5 linked regions of the Xenopus tropicalis genome follow. The protein of the gene in region 1 purifies or fractionates together with the protein of each later gene. This does not show direct contact. Links are inferred from orthologs where the notes say so. Each region holds a gene or a part of one and is shown in the gene's direction. Other genes may lie near its edges.

The links.
Region 2: the proteins of klc1 (region 1) and clstn1 purify together in Homo sapiens (co-immunoprecipitation; 3 studies listed by BioGRID and IntAct, with this or other methods). This does not show direct contact. The link is inferred for Xenopus tropicalis from reciprocal best matches to the Homo sapiens genes KLC1 and CLSTN1.
Region 3: the proteins of klc1 (region 1) and kif5c purify together in Homo sapiens (co-immunoprecipitation; 4 studies listed by BioGRID and IntAct, counting the BioPlex papers as one, with this or other methods). This does not show direct contact. The link is inferred for Xenopus tropicalis from reciprocal best matches to the Homo sapiens genes KLC1 and KIF5C.
Region 4: the proteins of klc1 (region 1) and kif5a purify together in Homo sapiens (co-immunoprecipitation; 7 studies listed by BioGRID and IntAct, counting the BioPlex papers as one, with this or other methods). This does not show direct contact. The link is inferred for Xenopus tropicalis from reciprocal best matches to the Homo sapiens genes KLC1 and KIF5A.
Region 5: the proteins of klc1 (region 1) and kif5b purify together in Homo sapiens (co-immunoprecipitation; 11 studies listed by BioGRID and IntAct, counting the BioPlex papers as one, with this or other methods). This does not show direct contact. The link is inferred for Xenopus tropicalis from reciprocal best matches to the Homo sapiens genes KLC1 and KIF5B.

The regions. Positions count from the first base shown.
Region 1 is NC_030684.2:98,530,169-98,532,355, forward strand, and holds part of klc1 (kinesin light chain 1), read left to right. Parts: intron 1-1,046; coding exon 1,047-1,148; intron 1,149-1,605; coding exon 1,606-1,779; intron 1,780-1,879; coding exon 1,880-1,979; intron 1,980-2,187. UniProt on the Homo sapiens protein: Kinesin is a microtubule-associated force-producing protein that may play a role in organelle transport. The light chain may function in coupling of cargo to the heavy chain or in the modulation of its ATPase activity.
Region 2 is NC_030683.2:55,918,248-55,921,768, forward strand, and holds part of clstn1 (calsyntenin-1), read left to right. Parts: intron 1-2,255; coding exon 2,256-2,464; intron 2,465-3,521. UniProt on the Homo sapiens protein: Postsynaptic adhesion molecule that binds to presynaptic neurexins to mediate both excitatory and inhibitory synapse formation.
Region 3 is NC_030685.2:77,053,512-77,057,032, reverse strand, and holds part of kif5c (kinesin heavy chain), read left to right. Parts: intron 1-229; coding exon 230-298; intron 299-954; coding exon 955-1,161; intron 1,162-3,521. UniProt on the Homo sapiens protein: Microtubule-associated force-producing protein that may play a role in organelle transport. Has ATPase activity. Involved in synaptic transmission. Mediates dendritic trafficking of mRNAs.
Region 4 is NC_030678.2:140,743,348-140,746,868, forward strand, and holds part of kif5a (kinesin heavy chain), read left to right. Parts: intron 1-731; coding exon 732-759; intron 760-2,167; coding exon 2,168-2,246; 3' UTR 2,247-2,287; intron 2,288-3,521. UniProt on the Homo sapiens protein: Microtubule-dependent motor required for slow axonal transport of neurofilament proteins (NFH, NFM and NFL). Can induce formation of neurite-like membrane protrusions in non-neuronal cells in a ZFYVE27-dependent manner.
Region 5 is NC_030682.2:22,971,294-22,975,398, forward strand, and holds the start of kif5b (kinesin-1 heavy chain), read left to right. Parts: upstream 1-1,299; 5' UTR 1,300-1,475; coding exon 1,476-1,601; intron 1,602-4,105. UniProt on the Homo sapiens protein: Microtubule-dependent motor required for normal distribution of mitochondria and lysosomes. Can induce formation of neurite-like membrane protrusions in non-neuronal cells in a ZFYVE27-dependent manner.

The DNA.
Region 1 (2,187 bases):
GGAGTAAAGAGCCCTAGAAGCTTTCTCTGTTTGCTTAAGATTGCAGCTGCCATTTTAACTTGGTCTTCATAGCTTCCTGCTGTATAGCTCTAGCCGTTATAGCTCAGATCACACATTCCTCAAGAAGAGGGGAGGGAGTCCTTAGCATTCTTGAGGGGGGGGGGGTGGCAGGAGAGAGGAGAGAACAATGCAGACTCTGTCCCCCAGAATGAAGGATTTTTCTGAGAGAGTAAGTCATACCAGAAGAACATGTTTACAAAAAGGAGACCAGAAATCTTGTGTTTCTTTTGATAGAGGACTCGGTGCAGCTTTTCTGTGAGTGCTTATGGCTGTACAGGTATGGGATCCCTTATCCAGAAACCTGTTATCCAGAAAGTTCCGAATTACGGAAAGGCCATCTGCCATAGACTCCATTATAAGCAAATAATTTCTAATTTTTAAAGATTTCCTTTTTCTCTGTAATTAGAAACCAGTAACTTGTACTTAATCCCAACTAAAATATAATTAATCCTTATTGCAGGCAAAAACATGCTCACGTTCTGCATAAGAGGTCCCATACCTGTATTTACATAGACTTTTCTGAAAAAGCTTACTTATTGTTTACCTTTCCTTCTCCTTTAAAGTGTAAATTATTAGCAGGAACAATTTAATAATATGTTGCCCTCCTTAAAATGTTTTTTATTCTCTCATGTTTCCAGAGCTCTACAAGACTGTTCTTGTTCAAAATCTTTTAATAGGAGTGAGCAATCATTTATACAGAAACAATGAACTAAGGCAGCTACACCCATACACCAAGTCACAGTTATGCAGAGACTAAAGGTCCCACTTCTGGTTTTATCACAATGTCTTTTAATACTCTGCAAAATATTACATACAGTATCAAGCATTTCGCAGACAGAACGCTTTCTTTGACTTAATATCTAATATCTATCATATTCTATAATTTGTTGTTCAATATTTACTTTGTTATTAAACAATATATATATTTTTTGCTTTTGCAATGCCTTGGGAAAATATCTTGATTACCAATATTTTACACTTGACAGGTCGCAGCCACTCTGAACAACCTTGCCGTTCTTTATGGGAAACGAGGAAAATACAGGGAGGCAGAACCCTTATGCAAAAGGGCTCTTGAGATCCGGGAAAAGGTATTGCAATTAATAAGCTACTGAGCAGAGTTTGGCCAGCAATGTTTGCTGTTACAGAAATTCCACAAAACACAAATCTCATTTTTAACACAATAAAACTTAGAAGATCTGTGTTCAAAGTGATGCATTGGGATGGATCATAGGTTTGATATTCCTACAATTTTTTTTTATTCTAAAGAAAAGTAATGGGTTTCCTTGGGAGATATAACCTTTTTCTGCCCATGGTGATTACATGATTGCATAAAGCCAGGGCTAGAAGGGCAGCTTTCCTATTTAAAGTTGCCAAAAACACTGTCCATGTTCCGGCATTGTGGAAACACCCATATGTCAGTATGTCAGTTGAAATGCTTATTCATTACACATCAGTGGTGTTGGAGCATTTTAGTTAATGTGCCTACATGTCTCAGGGGAAATACACAAAAATTCACAATTTTTACTTTATATCTTGTATGAGCAGGTGCTCGGGAAAGACCACCCAGATGTAGCCAAGCAGTTAAACAATTTGGCCTTGTTGTGCCAAAACCAGGGAAAGTATGAAGAGGTGGAATATTACTATCAGAGAGCACTGGAGATATATCAAACCAAACTGGGACCAGATGATCCAAATGTGGCTAAAACAAAGAACAACTTGGTAATTAATATATGTGTTTGTGAGCTTTTTTTGCCAGTGGGGCAGCAGTTATTTTGTAAATGTACAACTGTCAATTAATATATAAAATGTGTGCTTTCAGGCTTCTTGCTACCTAAAACAAGGCAAGTTTAAGCAAGCTGAGACCCTGTACAAGGAAATTCTGACCCGAGCACATGAAAGGGAGTTTGGCTCAGTTGATGGTAAGAATTGAAAATAATTGAAAGAATTTCTAGTTCATAGCTTTGCTGCATTTATTTTTGCATCTGACAGCATTTTATATGGTGTATTTTAATTTAAGCTATAGATGTAAATGGTTATTATGATTCTTTGTAGTAGGGACCGTCTATACATCTCAGCTTAAAAATCTGATGGTTGATGGGGTAAAACATTGCTAATAATTTTTGTTGT
Region 2 (3,521 bases), on another chromosome or scaffold:
TAAAGGCATTAACAGAATCTGCCATTACCACATCACTAGGAAGGGCATTCCATAACCTCACTGCCCTCACCGTGAAAAACCACCTACGCTGCTTCAAATGGAAGCTCCTTTCCTCTAATCTAAAGGGGTGACCTCTGGTGCGTTGATTGTTTTTATGGGAAAAAAGAACATCCCCCAACTGCCTATAATCCCCTCTAATGTACTTGTACAGAGTAATCATGTCCCCTCGCAAGCGCCTCTTTTCCAGAGAAAACAACCCCAACCTCGACAGTCTCACCTCATAGTTTAAATCTTCCATCCCCTTTACCAGTTTAGTTGCACGTCTCTGCACTCTCTCCAGCTCATTAATATCCTTCTTAAGGACTGGAGCCCAAAACTGCACTGCATACTCAAGGTGAGGCCTTACCAGGGACCTATAAAGGGGCAAAATTATGTTCTCATCCCTTGAGTCAATGCCCTTTTTTATACAAGACAGCACTTTATTTGCTTTAGTAGCCACAGAATGACACTGCCTGGCATTAGACAACTTGTTATCAACAAAAACCCCTAGATCCTTCTCCATTAAGGATACCCCCAACACACTACCATTCAGTAGATAGTTTGCGTTTATATTATTTCTACCAAAGTGCATAACTTTGCACTTATCAACATTGAACCTCATTTTCCAGTTTGCTGCCCAGTTATCTAATTTTGTCAAATCGCTCTGCAAAGCGGCAGCATCCTGCATGGAACTTATAGTTTTGCACAATTTAGTGTCATCAGCAAAAATAGAAACAGTACTGTCTATGTCCACCTCCAGGTCATTAATAAACAAGTTAAACAGCAAAGGCCCAAGGACTGACCCCTGCGGTACTCCACTAACCACACTGGTCCAATTAGAAAATGTTCCATTTACAACCACTCTTTGTACTCTATCCTTCAGCCAGTTCTCTATCCAATTACAAATATTATGTTCTAGGCCAATATTCCTTAATTTGATCATTAACCTTCTGTGAGGTACTGTATCAAACGCTTTAGCAAAGTCCAAGTAGATGACATCAACTGCCATTCCAGCATCAAGGTTCCTACTCACCTCCTCATAAAAGGCAACTAAATTAGTCTGGCAAGATCTGTTACGCATAAAACCATGCTGGCACAAACTAATAGTATTGTGAACTGCAATGTATTCAAGTACCCTATCCCTTATTACCCCTTCCAAAAGTTTTCCTACTACTGATGTCAGACTAACAGGCCTATAGTTTTCAGGCTGAGAACGGGATCCCTTTTTAAATAACGGCACCACATTAGCAATCCGCCAGTTTCTTGGCACCATGCCAGACCTCAATGAATCCTGAAAAATTAAGTGAAGAGGTTTGGCAATCACAGCGCTCAGCTCATTTAATACCCTGGGATGAATCCCATCCGGCCCTGGACCTTTGTTTACCTTTACATGTTCAAGTCTCTTTTGAATTTCCTCCCGAGTGACCCACGCGTCAGTAGCTAAATTACTAGAACTGGGCATATTACAAGGGAAGCCTTCATTATCTGGCTCCTCAGATGTATATATATTTAACTAACTTGGTGGGTTTATGTCGGGATTTGTGATTAATGATTATAACATTTGGCCTGGCCCTCAGCTTCTCAGGTGCCACTAAGAATCCATGCCTGGCAAAAAATTTCACTCGTCACTAGTTACTACATAAAAATCCAAAGACACTGTACAAAAGCCATTCTTGAGGCAATCTCAAAAATCGGAAATAGGCCAAGTACAAAACCAGGATCTCAATATTAGGGACAGAACAAGAGTCCGAAACAATGTATAACAAAACAGGAACCTGGAAACAAAACACCCAAGCAATCTTGGGTCAAGTGTTGGAGAACTGCACATTAACCTTTATGTCCCTGGTTCAGATCCAGGCAGAATATCATACAACTTTTATAGTGTTTTTTTAAATGTAAATGATTTTCCTGCTGATCTGCAGGTTTTATAATGTAGTCAGTGTGTGAAATTACATTTTTCAATAAATCATAGCATAAGTGTAATAGATACTTATAGCTAAGATTCTCTAATTCAGAGAGTGTAAGAGTAATCTGAGGTCGTAATGTTAAAATCTCTAAAAGCATTAATCAAGTGATTAATAAAGTGAGATGAATCTGTGTGAGCTGTATGGAACCCACTAACTGTAATTTAAACTTTAGACAGGAATACTGATATATTAAAAAATAATGAACATTTATTTTGTAATAGTCTAATTTGAATTATTTGTTTATTACAGGGCATCAGTACACATACAAGTAAATGATGTGAACGAGTATGCACCAGTCTTCAAAGAAAAATCCTACAAAGTTACTGTCCGAGAAGGGAAAAAGTATGATAATATATTAAGGGTAGAAGCTGTAGATGCTGATTGCTCTCCGCAATTTAGTCAGATCTGCAGCTATGAGATTGTAACACCTGATGTGCCTTTCACCATTGATAAGGATGGTAAGAAGCTCTCATCTTTAACCCTTTCACTTCCAGCCATTTTGGTCAAAGCAGAACTACTGCCAGACAGTTTTTGAATATTTTGCACTGTTTTGCTTAAGGGGCCTTTCCTTGGGGGGACTTTTAGTTTTCAGGACAACCTAAGCTTTCTGGACAACCAGTGTGGCGGATATTGAAAGATTTCAAAGAGGCTGTTCACTGATTAAATTTTTGTGTGCAGGGTTTACATGTCCTTTAAGACACTTTTACAGTTTGGCAGTTGACACTTTAGAACTGTGTTCTTTCCGACACTTTTGTACCTTTTTTTTAAGGGTTTTGAGACCTATGTTTATAATTTAATAGGGGTGACACATTGGCAGAAGTTATTATTGTTACCGTATTTTTCGGACCATAAGACGCACTTTTTTTCCCCCAGAAGTGGGGGGAAAAAGTCCCTGCATCTTATGGTCCGAATATAGCCTACAGATATACTTTGAAAAAATGTTTTTACTTGCCCGTGTGGTCTCCGTGCAGGGCCCTCCTCTATTTACCGGCGCTTAGCTCTGGCGCTGTGCGCATGCACAATGACGCGCATGCCCATACGCATGCGCGTCATTGTGCATGTGCACAGTGCCAGAGCTAAGCGCCGGTAAATAGAGGAGGGCCCTGCACGGAGACCACACGGGCAAGTAAAAAACCTTTTCTTAAAGTATATCTGTAGGCTATATCAAACTAAGGCAGCCAGAGGGACAGAGGCGCTGTGGTGCGGCGCGGAAAACCATCCTGAGGCCTGAGCAGGTAGGCTGCTTTTACAGGAAATGGGGGCAATTCCTGATTGCTGCTGCTGGTACAGATGGGGGCAATATGTTGGGTGCTGCTGGTACAGGTGGGGGGCAATATGTTGGGTGCTGCTGGTACAGATGGGGGGGCAATATGTTGGGTGCTGCTGGTACGGGTTGGGTTTTAATGCACATAAAATATTTTAGGACACTATTTGTTTCAGAATCTTTTTTTCTTCATTTCCCTTCTCTAAAAACTGGTGCGTCTTATGGTCCGGTGCGTCTTATGGTCCGAAAAA
Region 3 (3,521 bases), on another chromosome or scaffold:
TTACATTCATTGGTTTTTATTGTCTACATTTCCTTGAAGACTTTTGCTACCAGTACATAACAGTAACACTATTGAAGTGCTTCATATTATGTGCCACCACATCCTACGCCCTTTCTGTACTCCATGCTGTCCATCACACAGCCACCCAGCACCCTATCTATAATACTGCTGCCTCTCAATACGTTGTTCCCTCTTCATATATATTGATAGCATTTCCCTGTTTCTCTAGGATGATGAGATTAATCAGCAGAGCCAGCTGATAGAGAAACTCAAGCAACAAATGCTGGATCAGGAAGAGGTAAAATAAAATATTATTTCCGCTTATTGACCACATTATGTTAAGGACATACTTGAATATTACTCTTGCTGGAAACTCATGGCTGACAAGTTTATTTATTTTTTGTCTATACCCTGTTGAGCAGTCAGGTAGCTTCAAAAACACATGCTTATTAATAGAAGAAGCCATCAAGCTCCACCCATGTGGTTCCTCATCCAAAAAGTTTGGTATATGTGAGATTGAGCTAAATTAGAGATTCTTACTGAGAGAGGCAGCCTATCAAGCTCCACCCATGTGATTCCATATGCACAAAATTGGTATATGTGGAATTTAGAGATGCTCAGACCCAGACATTGTCAAGAGTCTTGGGCCTTAAGGATCCTTCCGATAAAGAAAATAATCTATGTAATCCAACATCCCCCAATAGCCTTTATCTGACAGCTGAAGGGACACAGGTTGGATATCCCTGATGTATATGCTCAAAGGAGCCCCTCTAGTACTGGAGGCCCAGAGAGAATCCTCTTTGTCTAACTACCCTAAACTCAACAAGATTTGGTAACCCAGTTCTACATTTAAACAGTGGCCAATTCCTTCAGCTCTGTTGAGGAGTTTCAGTATTTTGGCTTCCCAACTGGGGATGATAGTTCATACAGTTGCTGTGTGTTTATGGTTTTCAGCTTTTGGCATCAACGAGGAGAGATTACGAGAAGATCCAGGAGGAGCTGACGCGCCTTCAGATAGAGAACGATGCAGCCAAGGATGAGGTGAAGGAGGTGCTTCAGGCGTTGGAAGAGCTAGCTGTCAACTATGATCAGAAATCTCAGGAAGTGGAGGACAAGACAAAGCTTAATGAACAGCTTTCAGAAGAACTGACCCAAAAAACAGTAAGTCCAGGAAGAACTTGTTTGGCACCGACAATCTGTATTTCTTTACAACATTGAGTTCTCTGTGGGACGTCTGTACTGATTGGTTTTATTAGTTGACCAGGGATTTCTGTTGATCTATGATGTCTATGAGGGCCACATTTCACTAGTGATCAGATTGATCAGCCCATATGCAACAGTCATTGTAGAGGCTGGTTACCTTGGGTGCCAAAGTTCCTTGGCCCAGTTCTGAAGAATGATGTCTGTATTTGCTACTATCTGTAGTATTTCCAGGGTCGGACTGGCCCGGGAAACTGGGAAAAATCCTGTTCCTGTTGGGCCCTGCCACCTAAGCACCAATTTAGTAAAGATTCAAATAAAATTTAAGATGGCCATGCATTCCACGGTGGAATGTATGGCCATCTTTAATTGTTTAACCTAGCTTTGTGGCCTGAAAGTGGAAAAGTAGTGGAGCTGGAGCGGGGACGGACAGGGGACAGGGCTGGACAGGGGTGGTGGTGGCTGCATGGTGGGCACTTGACTTGGGAACCCAGTGGGCCCCTGATTTCTAGTAAAGCTTTTGAGTACTGTTCATTAATGTGCATGATCTGAGGGTCCATTCACACAACACATCATTGGGACAGTACATTTTTACATTGCATGGGAGAGAAATTGTACAACGTGTCACGTAAAGCTTTTATAATATTTTTTTTTTGGTGTTACTGTTTCTTTAAACATTGCCGAGCTGAGATAATGGAGGGAATCCATAATTGTGGATAATGCAGCTCTCCGCAGCAAATTCAAGCCGGCGCTATTAACAGCCATTTCTAAATGGTGCAAAATTAAATTTGTTCCCACCATAACTGCTGCTAGATAACAAAAACCCATTAAGATATGCAAAGTAAATGGCCTTCAAAGTAGCTATTACGATCGTTAGCGATAAAGAGCACAAATAATCCGAAATATCTTCTGAACTGCGTGGGTGGTGCTTGGGGGAAATCGGTATGCGGTAGGTAGCGCGTGGAGATTGGTTAATTAGATATTAGTGTGTTATAATTATTAACCCTTAAGTCCACTGACACTGTTACTTGTTAGACTTTCTGGGTAATAAAGCCTACAATTCCCAGGAGTGTATTGGGGAGTGGGGTTCTCATGCACTTATTGGGGTACGGATGGAAAGTTGTACTGAGAACATCAAGGGGGATAGCAAGTATAGTACAGCAAGATGGCAGGAGTATGACAAGGTTTTGACAGGAGGTCAAGATAACAGAAGCCCGTGGACCTCCAGTTATTGATCTACAGTACCCAGCACCCACAGACAACTGAAACAATGGGGCCCTAAAAACTCTAATTTGGTGTAGGCCCAACTGCTAGCTCATTAATTACCCAATATCTGAGACTCTTGTATGACTCATACCAAAGGTTGACACTTAGGGGCACATTTACTAATCCACGAACGTCCGAAAAGCGTCCGAATGCGTTTTTTTCGTAATGAACGGTATTTTGCGACTTTTCCGAGAATTGTCGCGACTTTTTCGAGCTCTCAATACGAAAAAGTCGCGACAATTCGCAAAAGTCGTAATGGCTATGAAAAAGTTGCGACAATTCACGAAAGTCATAATGGCAATGAAAAAGTCACGACAATTCACGAAAGTCATAATGGCAATGAAAAAGTCGTGACAATTCACGAAAGTCATAATGGCAATGAAAAAGTCGCGACAATTCGCGCAAGTCGTAACGGTTACGAAAAAGGCGCGACAATTTACGCAAAATTCGTAACGGCAACGAAAAAATCGCAAAAAATATGAAAAAGTTGCAAAATGTTCATTTTTTCCAATCCGAATTTTTCGGATTCGGATTCGTGGATTAGTAAATCAGCCCCTTAGGGTGGCTTTTACCAAATGCCGTCTCTTATCCCATATTCTATCTATTCCCATCACCCTTTGATAAACCACCAAAGAAATGCCACATCTTTCTTCTGTCTTTGGATGAAGAGATCAAGGAGGAAGCCACGGATTCCCTATATATTGCCCTAAGAGAACTACAAGGTCATCTACTAAATCAGCCTGAATCCTGCTGCTAAATATTTCCATCTTGTTTGGATTTGGGATCAGCCTAAGGACATGACTGTCCCCAGATGATGTCCCTTCAGATATCTCTACATGGCGTAGACAATATCTTAGTTTCTATGAACATAAGAAGAAGAATTATATATTGTCCTGTTATGTTCTATGCCAAATATTGAGTCCTTATGAGAACAAGGAACAAGGAGAATGAGTCACGTTGTGTGGATCTTTTAATCTAACGTGCAAATCAAATTAACATGCACTAGGTTCAGTTTCATCAGAGGCCAATTAACCGGCCTTTATGGTCTTTGGAAC
Region 4 (3,521 bases), on another chromosome or scaffold:
CAATTTAATGGGAGTCTGTATACTGGGTAACTCGGGGTATACCCGTAAATGGCAGAACCAAGCTGGGAAGCCATGATAACATGAATGCAAGGTTTTAATGAAGACAAAATAGCAGAACAGCAACTGGTGCAAGTTGAAAATATGAACAAATATACAGGCCAGTGACAGGAACAATCGGCAGTCAAAAATGTAGATCAGTAATCAGGCCAGTAGTCGGGACAGGCAGCTGACGGAACAAAACTGAACGGAACAAAACTGGGAAATTTACAAGAACAGAGCTAGGAGGGGCACATGAGTACAGGAACAAGACAGGAAACAAAGAACAAGGCAAGGACTCAGGAACTGGGAACCAGATGGGGGTCTCAGGAACAGGAAAACACGAATCGCAAGAGGGCAAGATCTAGGCTAGAAAGCTTAATGACCAAGCAAGGACAATGGCCAGTGGCAGGCTTATAAAGGGTCTTAATTAAATTATAAGTTACACATTGGGCTAATAAGGTGGGCAGAGGAGGAGGTAGAACGATCAGGACCAGCCATAAGAGCCTCCAGGGGTTCAGTTGGTAAGTACACAGTCTCAGAAATACATGCACAGTGCACATTGCAAAATCCATTGCTCTCCTATATAAATTGATTTCCTTATTAAGGGGATACAGTGACAATGGTAGAAATGTGACTGTTATTTGGTTCATTTACATTTATAAAACTGATGTTTGTTATATTCATACCCACAGGAAATGCTACAGATATCAATGATAACAGGTAAGAAGCACTAATAATGTTTTCTACTTTTTGACTTCATTCCAAAGGTGACAAAGATTACAAATACAATGAAAATGCATTCTTCTGTCACTAAGTATATTTCCCATCATAATGCTCCTTCTTTATATCAAACCTTGAACAGCGTTACCCTTGCTTACTCTACAATAAATCACAGCCTCTTTGTAATGCCAACTGCATTTGAATGTTAACCAAAGACTCTAAAGCAGTTGTACCCAGCACTGAAAATGGAGCACTATTTAAACTTAATCAGGATATGACACAGCGCATCAATAGAAAGATATCTTTCTGTTACTGATACTGAGGTATTGTTTTGTGCTATCAATACGAAATGTAACGGATCATTTTAAACGCCAAGTGCAGCAAGCAATGTGAAATTTTGAGCCCAAACTGTGTTTTTTCCCGTTATTCAGCATTTTTTCACATAATTCCAGTGTCCTTACACCACCAGGGGGAGTTGTCCCTGATGCGATTGTAGCTGATGTATCAAAATTAACTTGCACTTCAATGTTAATTAAACACGCTTTCACTGAAGTCCAGTTGGCGTTATTTCTGGTGTCTGGCGAGAGAGTGCTTTGTGTGGCTGATTCATTAGATACAAGCATGCTGCGCCTGTTGATACAGTGCACTAAGGGAATTCTGGAGCTACCGCCTGGCCTAGAGGTGGCAATAGCTAAAGGGATTTTCTGCGTCAATAGGTGCAACTGTGCTTGATACGGAACAGGAAGCATGAAGGACTGAGAGGCACAAAGGCAACTATACAGAGGTGCAAGGAGCACATTTTAACTTTTAATGAATGGGGATTTATGGGCAACTAACTGGCGGGAAATTTGTGGGACTCCAACTGCGCTTGTGGTCTTAATTGACCCCTATAGTTTCTTTTTTACCCTTCAGTAAATCTAAAAAAAAAAAAAAATCTTTCTGGTGAGCTGGTGTGAACTCTAGTTTAATAAATACACAACATACAACCCTTTTAACGATTTATAGAGATGTGTGCAAAATTGTCCTCTTCACTTTCCTTGAAAAATCAATGACAGCCAGGAAAGTGTTAATATGAAAAGTGGTGTGAATCACTCTGGAATTCCCTGTTGGATATTTAATAAGTCTATCCTGTACAGCTAATATAACAGTATTTCATATAACAGGAAATGTTTTTAAAAATACTATATAATGTAGGATTATTTTGTCACCAATATGGATCCAAAGGACTGTTAATTATAGAGAAAAAAAAATTCTTTTTAAAAATGAGAAGTATTTGCTTAAAATTGAGTCTATAGGAGATGGCCTTCTTGTAATTCAGAGCTTTCTGGATAATGGGTTTTCGGATAAACCCATTTTTGCTTTGAAGTTGTTGCATTATTTCAAAACAATGTTTCTATTTTCACTACAGAAGCGATTTGCCATGTGGCTGTGAAGCTGAGGATCAGTCCAAGTTGTTCCCTCTTCATCAGGAGACAGCAGCCAGCTAATAACGCAGTCATATAAATTCTCATATCATGTGCACTTTCAGGTAATACCTACTTTATAACCCATTTAAATGGTCTGGTCAGTTCACATGTATAGTCATTATTTATGGAATATTGAAGGAAAAGATTTCCTCACTGCTGTCAATATTGCTTTACAGATGGCTAAATGCGGGAAAATATTAGGAGTTATTTGTGAAGCTGAACACAGTGTGCAATCTGCCATTTTTTTGCACTATGCACATTATAATCTTCTGTGTGCACACCACTTAGGAGCTCAGAGACCTGCGGTTCCCCCCATGAATACAGTGCTGGTTGTGTTGTATTGGGGAGGAGCAGGTGGAGTAATTAAGATGTGCATGTTAGTGAGCAGCATGCAGCAAGGATAAGGCTAATGCCAGACGAGGCGTAGGGCAGATATTTTCAGCAAGCGGAAAAACACTTGCCAAAAATTCCGCCCTACACCTCCTACTTGTGCCTGCACCCGAATGAATGAGATACACTCGGGTGCAGGCACATGTAGCTGATATACGCATAAAAACGCGAGACTTTGCATTATCTCGCATTTTCATGCGTATATTGGCTACATGTGCCTGCACCCGAGCGTATCTCATTCATTCGGGTGCAGGCACATGTAGGAGGCGTAGGGCGAAATTTTCAGCAAGCGCTTTTCCGCTTGCCGAAAATATCCACACTACGCCTTGTGTGGCATTAGCCTTAGGTTTGGCTGGGCTTCCTGAAGCTGTGCTTGCGCAGTTTACCCCAGGGCACAAGTGCATACTAATGAGCACTAAGGGGCATGCTCTTGTGATATAGCACTTGCCCAAGGGGTAATGTAAATGTCCCCTGGCTTAGCCACTTCTGACCAACCTGTCAGCTTTGTGGCCCATGTATGTTGGCAAAACCATAACCCCACTGACCATATAGCTCCCCTGTTGAAATCTACATCAGGCCCTGGATGCTGTCCTCTCTGAGTAGGTCAACATAAAGAAAAATCTTCAGCACACCACTTACATACATGTTCTCAGAGGGTGCTTAACTTCCACGGCCGCTCCCAAGCCTTTTCTCCATGTAGCTTTGCAAAGGGAAAGAAGCACACCAGTTGTGTCGGCAATGCCTTTAAATCATTTATTTGCAGAAATGAGCAAAACAGCACAAGCTTTCGGGGGTGACCCCTTCCTCAGGTGCAAGGAAGGGGTCACCCCCGAAAGCTTGTGCTGTTTTGCTCATTTCTGCAAATAAATGATTTAAAGGCATTGCCGACACAACTGGTGTGCTTCT
Region 5 (4,105 bases), on another chromosome or scaffold:
TGTGATTTGGACACCTAAAGGTGGTCCTGAGTGTTTATGTGTGAAAAGGGAGTTTCCCTGTTATGCAGCAGCAACCACTAGGTGGCAGTGTGCTGCAATATAAAAAGGGATGACACCAATTTTGTGAAGGTCTTTCTGCCTGGGACCCCCTCTGTAATGAGGTCAGCAACAGGCTAGTGTTCTAGTACAAGAGGTACTGTGACAGGTCACTCTAGGAGTGACAGGCAGGCTAGAGAGTACGGGCAGCGATAGCCCCCAACAGGAGAGAGGGGTTAAGACCCCCCAGCATTCATGGCTGGAGTTCAGGACCTCTAATGTTCAGTAAGAGGCGCCAAGTCAGCACCTGGGAATGTTCCCAGTGAAGGGGCCCTACGCGTGGACCGGGGTGAGTTCCTAGGTGGAAGCATCCGGCGGGAGTACCGGGGGTAGCCCAAAGAGAGAGTGTGTGACTTGAGCCGTCTGTGTGACATCCTCTGAAGTGTTCTGCCTGCATCAATAAACAAGTTCATCTGGTTCACCATTTTAACCGGTGTCTTGGCTGTTCATATACTGAGGATCCTCAACTGCCTGGTAAGCAGCTACCCCAAGGGAGGGGCAAGGTACCGGGAGTTGCTGGGAGTCCGGGTCCAATAAGGACCTCATTGAGATTTCCCAGGGAGGAGACATATAGTTCTACCTATACCTACCCTGGGTGGAGGCACGCCATTCATTTATATCATATCTGTCCCCCATAAATAAGCGGGGGCTCAGGGCTCCTGTAGCGCCACACGCAGGTGATTGCGTGGTTAAAGTACAACCGTAGCCAAAATAGGGTTACATATACTTTTTTAAAAAATATTTTTCATTGTGCATATTGGGCTACTTTCAAAGTGGCTTTTGGCTAGTTTAGAACTGACTTTGCCTGGTTTGGAAAAATAAATCTGGCAACCCTGCTATGGAAGCCCACTCCCTGCACTAAGCATAGCAGGACCCCACGCCTGTGGCCCCCCATTCACTGTTTCGAACAGCTTTCCACACTTATTCATCCGCAGCCGCGCTAATGAACTGTCCCAGACGCCCGACCCTGACAAACTAGCGCGCAGGGAAACGATCACGTGATCGTACTGCGCAACCGCACTGCTCTATCCTGACACATTCCCTTTACGCTTCCGCATACGTCACTTTACAGTACGCCCCGCCCACCAGTTCTGCTCAGTGTGCGCGTCTAGTCTCAGGGCGAAGATGACATCACTCAGCTCACAGCCGGCAGGGAGGGAGGAACAGTAGTTGCGTCACCGCCGTGGCTGCCATATTGGATGGGAAGTGAAGTCTAGTGCCTCCGTCCGCCAAGCTTAGCGGCTCACTCACCGGTTCCGGGGAGCGGCTGCGGCGGTGGTGGTGGTTTACCGTCACAATAACTTAGCGGGAGTAGCCGCCAGCGTCCTATTTGCGTGTGCTCAGTTGCCCCCTGTGCCGGAGGGGAAGGGGCGGACAAGATGGCGGACCCGGCGGAGTGCAGCATCAAAGTGATGTGCCGTTTCAGGCCTCTGAACGATTCCGAGGTTACCAGAGGGGACAAGTATGTGGCCAAGTTTCAAGGGGAAGATACTGTGGTGATGGCGGTGAGTGTGCAGGGATGGGCTCTTAGGTGGGGGGATTGGCTGTAGTGTCGCTGCTGTGACAACTCCCAGCATCTTCCATTAACTCTGGGGCCAACCATTCCCTGCGTCCCAGGGCCTTACTCCCTATAAGGGCTACGTTATTATGGTGCAACTTAGCCTTACTCCCTATAAGGGCTACGTTATTATGGTGCAACTTAGCCTTACTCCCTATAAGGGCTACGTTATTATGGTGCAACTTAGCCTTACTCCCTATAAGGGCTACGTTATTATGGTGCAACTTAGCCTTACTCCCTATAAGGGCTACGTTATTATGGTGCAACTTAGCCTTACTCCCTATAAGGGCTACGTTATTATGGTGGAACGTATGAGTCTACATATTGGCATTGATACGGGTTGGAGCTGACATATTGCTGTGAATGGGGGGGGGGGGGGGTATTAACCTCTTGTTGTCAGCGAACAAATGATCCGCAGCAGGGAGGGCAGAATGAGTGCTGGCAGGCGGCATCCCTCACACATGGGAGTGCCCAGCTTTACTCAGCAGCTGCCCCAAGTGCCATTGTAATTATCAGCCTAATGAATGAGGAGTGCCATGCAGCAGCAGCTGAAGCCAGACATACAGAGCCTTATATCAGGGTGGGTGCCTGCTGCCCCTCCTGCCCATGGGCACTGTGATCAGACATGGGGCACCCCTGTGGGCAAATACAGACACGTTTCCACTGGCTTGTTGCTTCCAAAGTGTATATAAAAAAACATGGCATTTGTATTCCTTTCCCATACACATTCACTGGTTTTATTGTCATCTGTAAAGGTAATTGCTACAGTATCTGTTTATATTGTCTGCAGTCCTGCTTCTGACTGCTGAAACAATGTAGCAGCTGCAGACCAGGAGGGCAACTTCTTCTTTGCTGTTTCAAGAGTCTGACCCAGTGAAAAGAATCAACTGAATTTCTATTAAAAAGTTTCTTAGAATGATCATTTTTGCCGTGCAGTAATTCGTCTTTAATACCCAGTTCTATAAGAGACTTCTTTATGTGACAGTTTGTCTGCCTCAACCTACAGCTGTCAGCATCTAGCTGACAGTTGAAGCATTGTGTCCCCGCTGTACATTGCACGGGTCCCAACTCTTCTCGATTCGCCCATGTCCGGTTTGTGGCTCTAGGAGTGCAGGTCAGCAAAACCTGAAAGGCTGCTGTGGGGGGGAAGTCCTGCTATAATGCCACATTTTTTGGCCTTTCAGCACCCGCAAGAATGCATATTTTTCAAGATCACAGTAAAATTGAAAATATTGTTCCTGCTTAAACAAAAATCCCTGGCAGGGAAATGTTGTGAAACATACTGTGAGTTTACAGGCTTGTTTAGCAGTGTGGGTAAGCAACTGATTTGCTTTGCTTCATGTGTTTGGCCTCTGGCAAGGCTCTTATTTCCCCAGTCCCTAGATGTCACATTGTCATTTAGGGTGAAAACAGACAGAGCTACTTAGTAGAAGCTACTTGTTACAGCTACTAAGGGACAGAAAATACCCTGCCATAGACAATACTGAAAATTGCCTCTGCTACAACACACGTAAAGACAGTTATCAGTAAATGATCAACATTGTCTATTTTAGTAGCCGTCACAAGTAGCTGCTACTAGTAGCTCTGTGTGTCTTCACCCTTAGAAAGCACATGGATGCCTAGTGCAGTGCTACATCTTATAGGGCTGCACCTTCCAGAAACTCAAGGCTTGGCATTTAAAGCAATATGTTGGGTATCAGGATCACGGAGTCTCTGTGGTGCCCGTGTGCCAGTGTAAAAGTGATAGTAATACCCCTATTTAGATTTCTGCACATTGCCTTTCTCCAGCTAATCGCAATTTTATTGGACCATTTTCTATATCCTGTTAACACCAAAAATGCCTGTTATTTTTCGGTAAATAAAACAGATTAAAAAGCTATCCAGATGAATATCTGTAACGAGTGAAATCCATTTGGTTTTGACCCACTCTGCAAATCTCTTGTTGCGGTAGGTTGTGCATTTAATGTGCAAAATGCTGATAGTAAGCTGTCAGGTTATACACAATGTATGGTACCTGGACAGCTTTTTTAACCCCCCCCCCTTAAAGGAGGCACATCATATAAAAATTAAGAATGTACCAGTGAATTATACTCCCCTAAAAACAGAAGGATTTTTCTTTAAAAAATTGTGTTTCGGTCTGATTTATTGAGAAATTCCACCAAAACCCCACTAACCCCGCCCATCTGTTCCACTTCCTGCTAGCTGACTTCTTTGCATGTGCAGGGGGGCCGGCTGCTCTCAGTAAACGGCACTGTAGGATAGGAACCAATCATCAGCTAGGCTGACCTGATAGGGAACTGAAGCCTGTCTTTGCTTGTGTGAGTGCAAGGCTGTAATTGGCTATTCCTCTCCGGCTGCACTTCTGGAAGGGACTGTTATGACACGCCCACCATTCATTTGAAACAGGGCCAGAGAACTGATGGGATCTATAGGGAGCTCCAATAAAGGGGC